Linked DNA regions of Coturnix japonica. The protein of the gene in region 3 interacts with the protein of the main gene of each other region in a biochemical or structural test. Links are inferred from orthologs where the notes say so. Each region holds a gene or a part of one and is shown on either strand. Other genes may lie near its edges.

Region 1 (3,653 bases), on a different chromosome or scaffold from region 3:
TTTCTTTTATATTAATGTATCCATCTAGCACCCAAATATACCACACCTGGATTGTAAGTACCTCCAGTCTGCTGCTCTATGAAGGAATAGTATCAAGATAATGGAAATCATCTACTACTCCCATTTCTATATACGCCAGAAGTGCTAGAAACACAGACACCACTCAATATAAGGTTCAGATTTTAAACAAAACAGCCAAACACGTTCAACTGAATAGACTTAAAAATCTTAACTTTGTGCTTATACTATCTATGTTCTAAGCCAGTTGATGTTTTGGTAGTTACCAAGCCGTTATCCAGTAACATACCTGGTTAATGTCAGCGTTCCGAGGTAGAAAATACACAATGTTGTTTGTGATCTTCTTGGAGAGCCTGAAAATTTCAAATGTAGAAGCCAGTAAAGGAAAAAAAAGGTAGTGCATGGATGGAGAAACTATTATATATTAATTCATTTTGAAAGCTTAATACGCAATAATGGAATGTCTGTGTAATTAGATACTGCTCTAGAATGCAGAAGTTAGCACTAAATGCAGAAAGTCAATTATTTCACCATTATTGACCTTTTTTAAATAGCAACAACAAGAAATCATAGAATCACAATGTTGGAAAGGACCTACAAGATCATCTAGTCCAACTGTTCTCATATCACCATTACTAGCACTAAGTTACTAAACCGTATCTTGTAGCACCTCATCCAGACAGTCACTTTCAGTCAACCAGCTGGACATGGCAAAGCCCACCTCAAGAGAAACAGGGAAGAAAAAAAAAAAAGGACTGAAAATGACATCCATGGTAACACAGAGCTTTGAAAGGATATCCATCTGGGCAAATCATAGTTTGGATGTCAAAGATTTCAGCAGTGGCATAGTCAGGCCCACCCCAAGGAGGGCTAAGGAACACAACATCTGCTTTCAGGTCAGCAGCCAGCACCATGAAGTCTCCGCACACAAATTCGATCTGGTTGGCCACGCCGTACACCTCGGCGTTGCTGCGTGCAAGGCTGAGTTTCTCAGGATCGATATCAACAGCAATCACTGCAAGTGAACGAGAGAGGAAGTGCACAGGTAACGTGGGCTGCAAAGTGCACAAAACATCCGATCACCACACAGATGCCACCCAGTTACCAAACAAAAGTTTCACAACATTCTCTTGTAGCAACCAGATACACATCACATCCGTAATTTCATTTCATGTGCTAAGCACTTCATTTTCTGCATGGCGGTAGACATGAAACTCCAGCTCCTCAAAGGGAAAAGAGGGTCCTTTACTTTACAGTAGAAGCTCCATGCATTCACACCAAAGTGACAGCAATACCATAGCCAAGACTGTGGGAAGACTTAGCACGCTGTTTAAGTTTTGGGAATCACACATCTACTACAACACTCCTCAGCACAAGCATAGGACAGGCAAGGCTGTCTGCCTAAGTGAGGAAGGCTTCCCATCTTCTCTCCGGGCAGGAGCCCAACAGCTTCCACAGAGTCAACTGGAAACCCATTCTTCTCTCTTGTCAAAGATGAATGTTTGCCTTGTGGCTGATCGCATTACACTGAAAACTGAGTTGGAAAAACACGCAGTGTAGTACAAAAATTATGATACAATGGCAGTATATAATTATATAAAGTATGTGAAATTTAGGAAATATTTATAGAATGCATCATAGCCTACCAATTTAGTGCAGCACGAACTACCATTTTTCTTGCTCAGAAATTACTGGGAAGTGTTAGATGAGCTGGTATTTTACCAGTGTTTCATGAATAGGGGAGGATTAAGTAGTTAATGTATTTACAGAAAGCACTCATGATTCACTGCAATTTCATTACCTGGAAACAAGAAATTACACTAATATCAAGTTATCATTGCTTTTCTGTATTAGGTCCTGCTGCACAGACAGAGGTGATCCCATTCCGATGTTTTAAGTACAGTTCACATGAAACATGCCTTTGAGTACATAGTCTTAATGCACTATTGAGAAAAGCAGCAGCTTTCTGGTGTACTGCAGGTTGGCACTGCAAACAGAACTTAACTTTTAACAGCAATTTCCAGCGCATCCAATGGACTAGCTACTATGTCAATTAAAACTAACATTTATTACGTTCAATGTAAATCCAACTTTGACTTTAAATTGGAAAGCAGTTCTACAGGTCAACTTTAAAAAAAGAAACCTTGTATTGTGATTCTGATGAAGGAAGAAACCTCCCACTGCTTCAGAAGCACTGGAGAAAAATGCATCTGTGAAAAAAGCCCAGCTCCAATTTTCATAGAGTAATAGAATGGCCTGCGTTGAAATGGACCTCAAAGATCAACTAGTTTCAACTCCCCTGCCATGTGCAAGGTTGCGAACCACTAGACCAGGCTGCCCAGAGCCACATCCAGCCTGGCCTTGAATGCCTCCAGGGATGGGGCATCCACAACCTCCTCGGGCATCCTGTTTGAGTGCATCACCACCCTGTGTGAAAAACTTCAACCTAAAAAACTTCTTCCTAATTTCCTTCCCTAATTTTAGGGCAAAAAGGTTGAAGAAATGAAACAATGTACTGCATACAATGCCTACTTACCTCTTTTTGAGGTCAAAGCAAACTGAATAGCATTTCCTCCAACCCCACAGAAGGCATCCACTATTGTATTGCAGTTGAATGACTGAGCGACACGGACTGCAATATGCTCTGCTATCTTCTCAGGAGTAACAGAAAACCAGCCCTCTGCAAAGGGAAGAGAAGTATTTTTGCCACTTATTTCAATGTTATCTAAATTAAAAACAAACAACTGAAGGTTTAGCATCAACCCCAGCAATTTTGGCTTAGCACGTTTGACCAGGAAATACAGGCTTTCAAGATTATAAACTCCGTTGAGTCCAGTGATTTGCTAAGCAAACAAAGTCTCACCAAAGTGAATAGATATCCCTGATTCTCACTGAAGGCTTTGTTGAACTTGGCGCTTATCAAGGACAAATACATAAATACAATTGCACAAAACCTTATACATGTCATAACTATGCTCTGCCACAAGTAAAAACAGAAATATATCCTCTCACATCCTACACATTATTTTCATTACAGTCATGCCTGGCCTGCCAAACAAACTATGTGTTTATATGGAAAAATACTAGAAATGAAAGCCTAACAAAAATCTTACCAAAAACGGTGGTAATACTAACTCCTTATTTACCTATGAACTGATAATTTAGAAGCAGTTTCCACATAACATGGAAAAATGCAACCTTGAAAATGACTGCTGAAAAACCGTGAATGTTAAGAGAACTAAATTACATTCACCACTGCACTTCAAAGTTAAAAATGATAATAATAATAATAATAATAATAAATTATGGAGAAAAAATGTCATTGAGTTTCTGAGAAAGTCCTGACCAAGCATTGCTTGGGTACACTATGACCTTCAGCAAGCATCACAACCAGCACAAAGAAGGGCATACCATGCTAGAAAACGGGAGACAGAAGTCCCAAAGCTCTTTTGTTTGTCAGTGCATTGGCTGTGCACTCAGTATTGTTCCTTCCATCAAAAGAATTAGTAATAAATAAGCTGTAAGAAAGGTCACAGGCCTGGGTACCCCTTATGCCACCAAAGTCAGCACCCTGTGCACTAGACACACTTACCTCTATCTAGTTTAATCCCCTCATCGAAGCGAGAGAACAGCCT
Region 2 (3,653 bases), on a different chromosome or scaffold from region 3:
AAGCTATTTATCTGTTAAATACCTGGTCTGATCAAATATTGAGAATCAGCCAAGAATCAACAATCATCAGTTTTTCATATAAATCAAAACACTGGCACATACACCAGTGGTTGCAATGCTGGGCAGGGACTTCAGAAGAAATGAAGGAACTTGACTTCAAGAGCAGTGTGAATGTCTGCAGCCCCTACCAGAAATTTCCTTTTCTGCTTCCAGTGGCTTCCTTGTGCATTGGTGGCCACATGTGCTTCAGTGACAATTTTGATCAGCTCCCATTCCTCATCTGTTGGTTCAGGCTTGTGACCAATTGTTTTCTGCAGCTCCTCCCGACGCCTCTTCTCTCGATTTTCTTCTATCAGCTTCCTCTTTGCCAGCCGCTTGCTGTCATCCAGCACCACTAGCAAGGATAAGAGCATACAAAAACGGCAGGAAGTTACTGAAGTTATCTGAACTTAGGTTTTTCCTATTTATACCAGATGTACTAATTGATTACCAACACCTTAACCAATCATAGAATGGTTTGGGTTGGAAGGGATTTTAAAGATCATCTAGTGCACCACACTACTGTGGGCAGGGCTGCCACCCACCAGCTCAGTCTGCCCAGGTCCCCATCCAACCTGGCCTTGAAAGCCTCCACAGATGAGGCATCCACAGTTTCTCTGTGCAGTCTGTGTCAAGGCTTCACCACTCTCCCACTAAAGAACTTATTCCTTATATTCATTCTAAATCTCTTTCAGTTTGAAGTCAATATCCCTCATAAAAAGTTGGTCTCCCTTCTGTTTACAAGCTCCTTTTAAGTACTGGAAGACCGCAATGAGGTCTCCTGGGAACCTTATTTCCTCAACCTTCTTCCATAAGAGGTGCTCCAGCCCTCTGATCATCTTAGTGACCCTTCTCTGGACATGTTGCAAAGGCTCAGTGTCTTCCCTGCACTGGGGGCCCCAGGCCTCAATGCAGTACTCCAGATGGGGCCTCACGGGGGCAGAGCAGTGAAAGACAATCCCCTCCCTCTGCTGGCCATCCCTCTCCTGATGCAACCCAGGATACAGCTGGCTTTCTGGGCTGCATGCGCACACTACCAGTTCACACCCAATTTTTCATCCACCAGAATCTCCAAGTCTTTCTCTGCAGTGTTGCCCTGAATATATTCATTCCTCAGTCTGTACTGATGTCTGGAGATAGCTGGCTTGTCTTCCAGTCTCAGTGACAGCTCCTCTGACACACCTGTATGTGCATTCTATAGACACCACTTTATGGTACCATAAAGTGCAACTGCTGGTCAGAATCAGACTCAGACAAACTTCTCATTCTGTGCAGCTCCTAAATGGCTGATGCTCAGTATTGCCTGATGCATCAACGTGGGCTGGATTTGAACTGATGATCCAGAGTCATTCCATTCCCTCTCTTTAAGTACCATCTGCCTTTAATGAAACTGTTTCACTTCTTCTGTTTCATTTTATACACAAAATGCCACACGTTACATTGCAAGTGAAAAATGCTAAGTTGGAATATTTTTATTTTCCTGATTGGGTCTGGTTTTGGTTTTGGTCTTTATTTATTTATTTATTTGCAGAGGATTACAATGGCAACAACCATTAACATCAATGCACAGGGGGATTTACATGAGTTCCTCTCATTGCACTAATTGAAGTTATTGGTGTAAATCCCTGTGCAGTGGCAGGAAAAGAAGATCCCTAAGGGTTAATCTTACAGCCATATGTTCTAGCTCTTTAGAATGAGAGTCAAATTATTTGCAGATAACTTCTTCAGGGCTAAAAATAAAACAAACAACTGCAGGATGACTCATACAACGGCATTCAGTTTCACATCCTCCAGAATTTTCTAAACAAGATGTTTTTTTTTTCCAAGCAAAGTGTCCATCCAGATGCATTCCTCCCTCCTTTCCTCCTAAGAGTTAACATTCCTATTGTTACTCAGTCCAGAAAGGCCAGGAGAAGGTGCAGCTTGGTAAAGCGTAAACAAAATATTACAGCATTCAGAAGTGGGTTGATGCAATGAGCATAATTCTCCAGAACAAATGGTTAAAAACAAAAAACGTTGTCAGTTCCATTCTTTTTTAACAATCTTCACCAACCAACGTACTTAAAGCAAATAAATACATATTAAAAAAGAGAGAGAGAGAGAAAATGAAGAAAAAGAGAAAAATATACTTACAATCTGTTGCCATGCCAACAAAGATACATTTTTTGAAGCGACATTCCTGGCACTGATTTCTTGTTACTTTGTCTATCACACATTTTCCTTCATATTTACAGGAATAGGTTGGATGGAGGTTTTTCTGAATGGTTCTTCTGAAAAATCCCTAAGTGCGATAAATAAATACATTGGGAAACAGAACTACTGCGTATTTTTTCCAAATTGGTGGCCAATTTGGTTTGGTAGAAACATACCTAAGTAAGCAGCATAAAATACTCCATTAAACTCTCAAAGAGAACAAAACAGACTTATAGATTATGGCATTTTCTCAGATTCAAGAAACATTTCCTCCTTAAAAATTAAAACATACAGACCCCTGAGATAGGTAAAAGCGTAAGGAAAGCTGTCTTGAGGAAAAAGATACTGATTACGTGTTTTCTTCAAGTCCTGCATTTCCATGCATAAATTTTATTGTTGATTGGAACTAGAGTTTATTTTGAGCCCCTTTTTAAATTACAATGATTTCAAAGGGAGGCATATGTGTACTCTTAATTAAAGGACAGCCTCTGCTAAGGGCAAAAATGGTGGCGTATAACTAAGTGTAAGTAGAGGGCAAAGAATGAGCAGTTTTACTTGTGCCCTTCCTCTAAAGTGAAATAACCAACCAATCAAATCTGGGCAAGACTATGAATTCTGCAGTCAAACACAATTCACTCAACTTCTCAGTTGGGCCCTAAATAATGGATCCATAATTCTGAAAAAATATGCATTTATGAGAAAAGGAATTCCTATTTCCCACAAGCATCTATATTCAAAACAAACATCACCAACAAAGAACTCTCTATGTATATTCTATCTACCTACAATAATATACATACAGCCAATTGCAGTTGATAGGAGGTCAGATCCTCAGCTCACACCAAGTACTGTAGCTCCACTGAAGTCTCAGATTTGAGCACACCACACACCCTGGTCTTAGGTAAAGAAATCAGATACAGCTTCTCTCCCAACACTGTAGACCTAATCCTGATATAAATTTCTACGAGTTCTCTCACAGACTTTGGCAAGAGCTGGATGAAGTTCCCAAGAGAAACGCAGTATGAACCAGACAGACTGATAAGGGCAGAAATTTACTTCACTTTCCACCACTGTTTAAGACTGTCTACACTTAGCAACACAGTTTGGAACTACCTTGACAGAAAGAACACGCTGAGATACCAGTCCTGTTGACTGGGGCCACAGTGAATAGCTTTGGTTTCATTGAAAACCATGGTAAAGTTCAAGTGAGATGGGATTTTATCTAACATACACTCTCTTCAGCTTGGATTTTAGTTACTGAACATCTTTTCACTTCACTAAGCAAGAAGTCTCTTTTTAATCATACTAAATAACAGAGTGTAAAATCTTATAGCAGTGATATATTTCAACACAGAACGTTTAATTAAGACATACAGATAAATCTGCATTTCAGCTTGATCTCCCAACACCTTCAAATACAG
Region 3 (3,653 bases):
TAAGCTGAGACTGTGGTCCTTGTTGAGGCTGTCCCTGTATGTTGCCCATGTTAACTTGCGGCACTCCACTAGCACCAGCCTGCTGGTTGTTCATACCTCCATGAAGCCCCATTAAATTGGTCTGCATCATATTCGGTGGGCCATGTGGTGCTTGCATCTGATTTTGAGGAGGCCCAGATCCTTGGCCACCTTTAAAAACAATAAAAAAGAAAGTTGGTTAGAAACCGATGGGAGTGATGTAAATTCTCAAATGTGATGCTGAATAACTACTCCAAATTCACTTTCCTCCTTTCTCTAATGAACTGGAATGCTGGACATATTTGCAGTCCTGTTCTATGATTGATGTCACAGATAAACATTACCTGTCAAAACAAAAAAATCACCTTCATTGGTGCTTCACACATGGACCCCACTGCAGGAGGCTTTCATTCAACTTCCATTTCAGTCATTACCTGTATATAAGCCTAAAAATATTCCACAATAGCACCTAATTTCACAAAATCATTCCCAACTAAAAGAAGCTTCAAACCGTGAAGTCATTTTACAATGGGTAAAAAATAAATACACGTACAGTGGTGATGATGGACATAATTCAGATGCAATACTGATAACCAAATTGTTAAAATGAGATATCTGTGAACTGCAGATTTCTTTTTTCACAAAACTCTCTTTAAGCTGATTTCCAAAGCTTTCAAAGAAACTAATAACCTTTTCAAACAACAAGGTGCTTCTTTTCTTGTTTTCCCTAAGATAATGCCCTTCATTTTTTCAGGACAAGAAGTTTCTTTTGTGCTGTATTTTTATTACCCCTAGCCTCCAAATCCCGTTGCTAATTCTTTTTAGCTTCCAAGAAGATACTTCTGGATCCTAGAATGACAGTTCTAAGTAAAAGTACTCGAACTGTTTGAAAACCATTAACCTCCCCACCAACAACTGAGGAACAACACATTCCACACAGACCTGCGTGCTGCACATTTTGGCTGGTTTGTAGCTGTGGAGCTCCGCTGTTCACCGGTGTTCCCGGTGCTGTGGAAGGCACCTGACCTTGCATGAAGCTCTGGTTAGCTTGGCCCGCAGGGAACCCGGGAGGGAGGCGCTTGGGCATTCCTTAATACAAGAATTTTCTCATTAGAAAGTAGGGAAAGAAAGAAGAGAGAAAAATAAAAAGGAAAGAAAAAGCAATCTGTAATTGGATGGCAGTAGGAAGAATACCTTTGAGTTTGTACTGTCACACTTCTGGTTTAGGAAAAAAGCAATTTTTGCCAATACGTAAAACTCACTGAAAGCATACTAAGAATTCTTACCTGTGCAGTAGTTCTGCCTAACAAAGCACTAAGACTCCACTCAAAATGTAATTCTGCTTCTAGTCTAAGTAGAACACCAAGCCCAAAAAAGGGGAAAAGTTGGAATTTTCAGAAACTGGAATTTGAAGTACCATCATTTGCTGCTTTCTTCTCTACTGCAGCTCATCTCTCACCAGGTCCGTAACTTACTCCATGTAAGCAAATACAAAAATCTTGCATTTTGATGGCACTTCTCCTCTCAACAAGATGTGCCGCCATAACACACTGGGTAGACATTCCTTCGCCCTGCTGGTCTATGTACATACAGACTCAAAATGACTTCTGGGCTCACGGAGGGCTGAGTTGAAGAATCTTCAAGGTCATGAGACAGAACAGGGCCTCACTACCCACAAAAAGACTCAGCTGCAGCAAGTCCCAAGTTTATATACACAACCCTGCTATTCCTATTGCAAATATTCTGCCAGCTCTGCCTGGCACAACACCCACACTTTGACATATCACAACACCACTGCTGCCCTGTGACAAAGAGCAAAATCTGCACCACTCCTACTGAGATGAGCAGCAGCAGAAATGTCTTTAACAAAACCCACTTCCTTTAACTCACCATCAAATATATAGTACCATAGTACCTATTAGAAACACTATACTCCTGTATTTGCCTGATTCACTTCCACAGCCAGAATTTAACCTTGGCTCCCTCTATGGTTATAGCTTTCTTGCACACTTTAACTGTATTGCTTGTGTAAATTAATCTGGTTTTGTGTCTACAACTAATACTTCAGTGTAATTGAGTTCATAAGTAAAAAATTAGGTGTGTCTGTAAATATGGGACAAATATTTCAAACAACATCACAGGATTACAGTTCTAGTTCTGCAAAACTTAGGAAAAAGCTTGTAGGAATGCTTGAATTGAGAAAAGTGTTCAATCTGGCCTATTCTGATTTGCAAAATTAACCAGGTGAAAGAGTTGGAATGTATTCAATTTACACTAAACCTTTAAATGCAAAGTGGCTCAAAAATGGGAAGATCCCTAACTATGGCCTAATTAATGTCTAAATTGCAGGACTAAAGACTAAGTATGGACAGAAGTCAGGCAAAAACCACAGCAAATGGAAGGCACACATAGCTTTGTTTAAATCAACAGAATCCTGTCTTTTTAAAACACCTGAGGATACAGATTGCTGATTTTAGCAATAGGGCCTGGAGTGAGTCCAAATAATGTATTTTTATGGCTTATTTGGGTTGTTATTTTTAACAAAACAAAAGTAGGATTTTGTCTATAGTAGGTATAGTAAGTATGCAGAGATTATGCTATTTAGGTTAGGGTTACACTACCTAGAAGATGGTGACAGAGCATTGCAGCTGGAGAGACAGAACTGTAAGGAAATGTGACACTTCTCAAAATATTTGGCAGCTGGAGACAAGAAAGGAGGTAGCAAGCAAAAAAGCACTGGCAGGCCCTAAAAACCCTAAAGAAGGAGGAAAACCCTAAAACTGAGACAATTCAGATGAAACAAACTGAACCAAATTCAAATGACATCCACAACACAAACTGTGAAGATACAAGAAAACCTGCCTGTATCAGTTGGCCAAGGAATGGGTAGTCGTTACAGCTCATCTGAGCTGAATTGGATGTGCAATGTGACAACACAGGAAAATAGAATACATACTGAACTGTGTGTGTAGGTAGACAAAGAATATGGCCTAGACTTTACAAGTACAGAACAAAAAGATTTTAAAGACCCAGGCAAGAGCCTATGCACAGGTAACTGAGAGCAGCCATTCAGGAGAAAGACAAACAAATGGAGAGACTTGCTACAAGTCGGGCACAGCACCATAAAAGGCACAAGGAAAAAAGAAAAACAGGGACACAAAAGAGATCTGAAGATTCAGAAATGAAATTCTGCCATCGCTAGAGAAGCCTTTTGAGAGTAGTAAGGCAAAAATTTGAATGCAGAGATCCAAGCAGAAAACTAAAGACCACACAACCAAAGAGGAAGTTAAAGCATTCCTTGACTTTCTCATTTTAGAGCAGGGAATTCAATAGCATAGCAGTAACAGTGCTTCTAAAGCAAAGAAACCAATGACAAATAAAGACAGGGTCAAGAGGAAACATCCACAACTGAGAAGGGAAAATGTAAAATAATGCTTCGTTTCTGTAGCAGAAAACATAAGTGGTGACAGACTAAGCTGAAGGGAAAAAAACCATTCATTTGCTTTTATTGAACTCTCTCCCTTTCAAAACCAACAAATAATATCTTTGCCTATTCTGAACTTTCTGTAAGGCAATAGAAGAACTGCCAAGAGGATGACTAGGAGTCATAAGCAGCAGCTACATAAAATAATTTC

Evidence for each region.
Region 1: the proteins of NCOA6 (region 3) and TGS1 form a complex in vitro, tested with the Homo sapiens proteins (2 studies listed by BioGRID). The link is inferred for Coturnix japonica from reciprocal best matches to the Homo sapiens genes NCOA6 and TGS1.
Region 2: the proteins of NCOA6 (region 3) and THRB form a complex in vitro, tested with the Homo sapiens proteins (2 studies listed by BioGRID). The link is inferred for Coturnix japonica from reciprocal best matches to the Homo sapiens genes NCOA6 and THRB.

Annotation. Positions count from the first base shown.
Region 1 is NC_029517.1:100,459,098-100,462,750, reverse strand, and holds part of TGS1 (trimethylguanosine synthase), read right to left. Parts: coding exon 3,611-3,653; intron 2,699-3,610; coding exon 2,555-2,698; intron 1,034-2,554; coding exon 817-1,033; intron 387-816; coding exon 308-386; intron 1-307. UniProt on the Homo sapiens protein: Catalyzes the 2 serial methylation steps for the conversion of the 7-monomethylguanosine (m(7)G) caps of snRNAs and snoRNAs to a 2,2,7-trimethylguanosine (m(2,2,7)G) cap structure.
Region 2 is NC_029517.1:34,219,931-34,223,583, forward strand, and holds part of THRB (thyroid hormone receptor beta), read right to left. Parts: intron 2,321-3,653; coding exon 2,173-2,320; intron 395-2,172; coding exon 189-394; intron 1-188.
Region 3 is NC_029535.1:435,254-438,906, reverse strand, and holds part of NCOA6 (nuclear receptor coactivator 6), read right to left. Parts: intron 1,108-3,653; coding exon 961-1,107; intron 190-960; coding exon 1-189. UniProt on the Homo sapiens protein: Nuclear receptor coactivator that directly binds nuclear receptors and stimulates the transcriptional activities in a hormone-dependent fashion. Coactivates expression in an agonist- and AF2-dependent manner.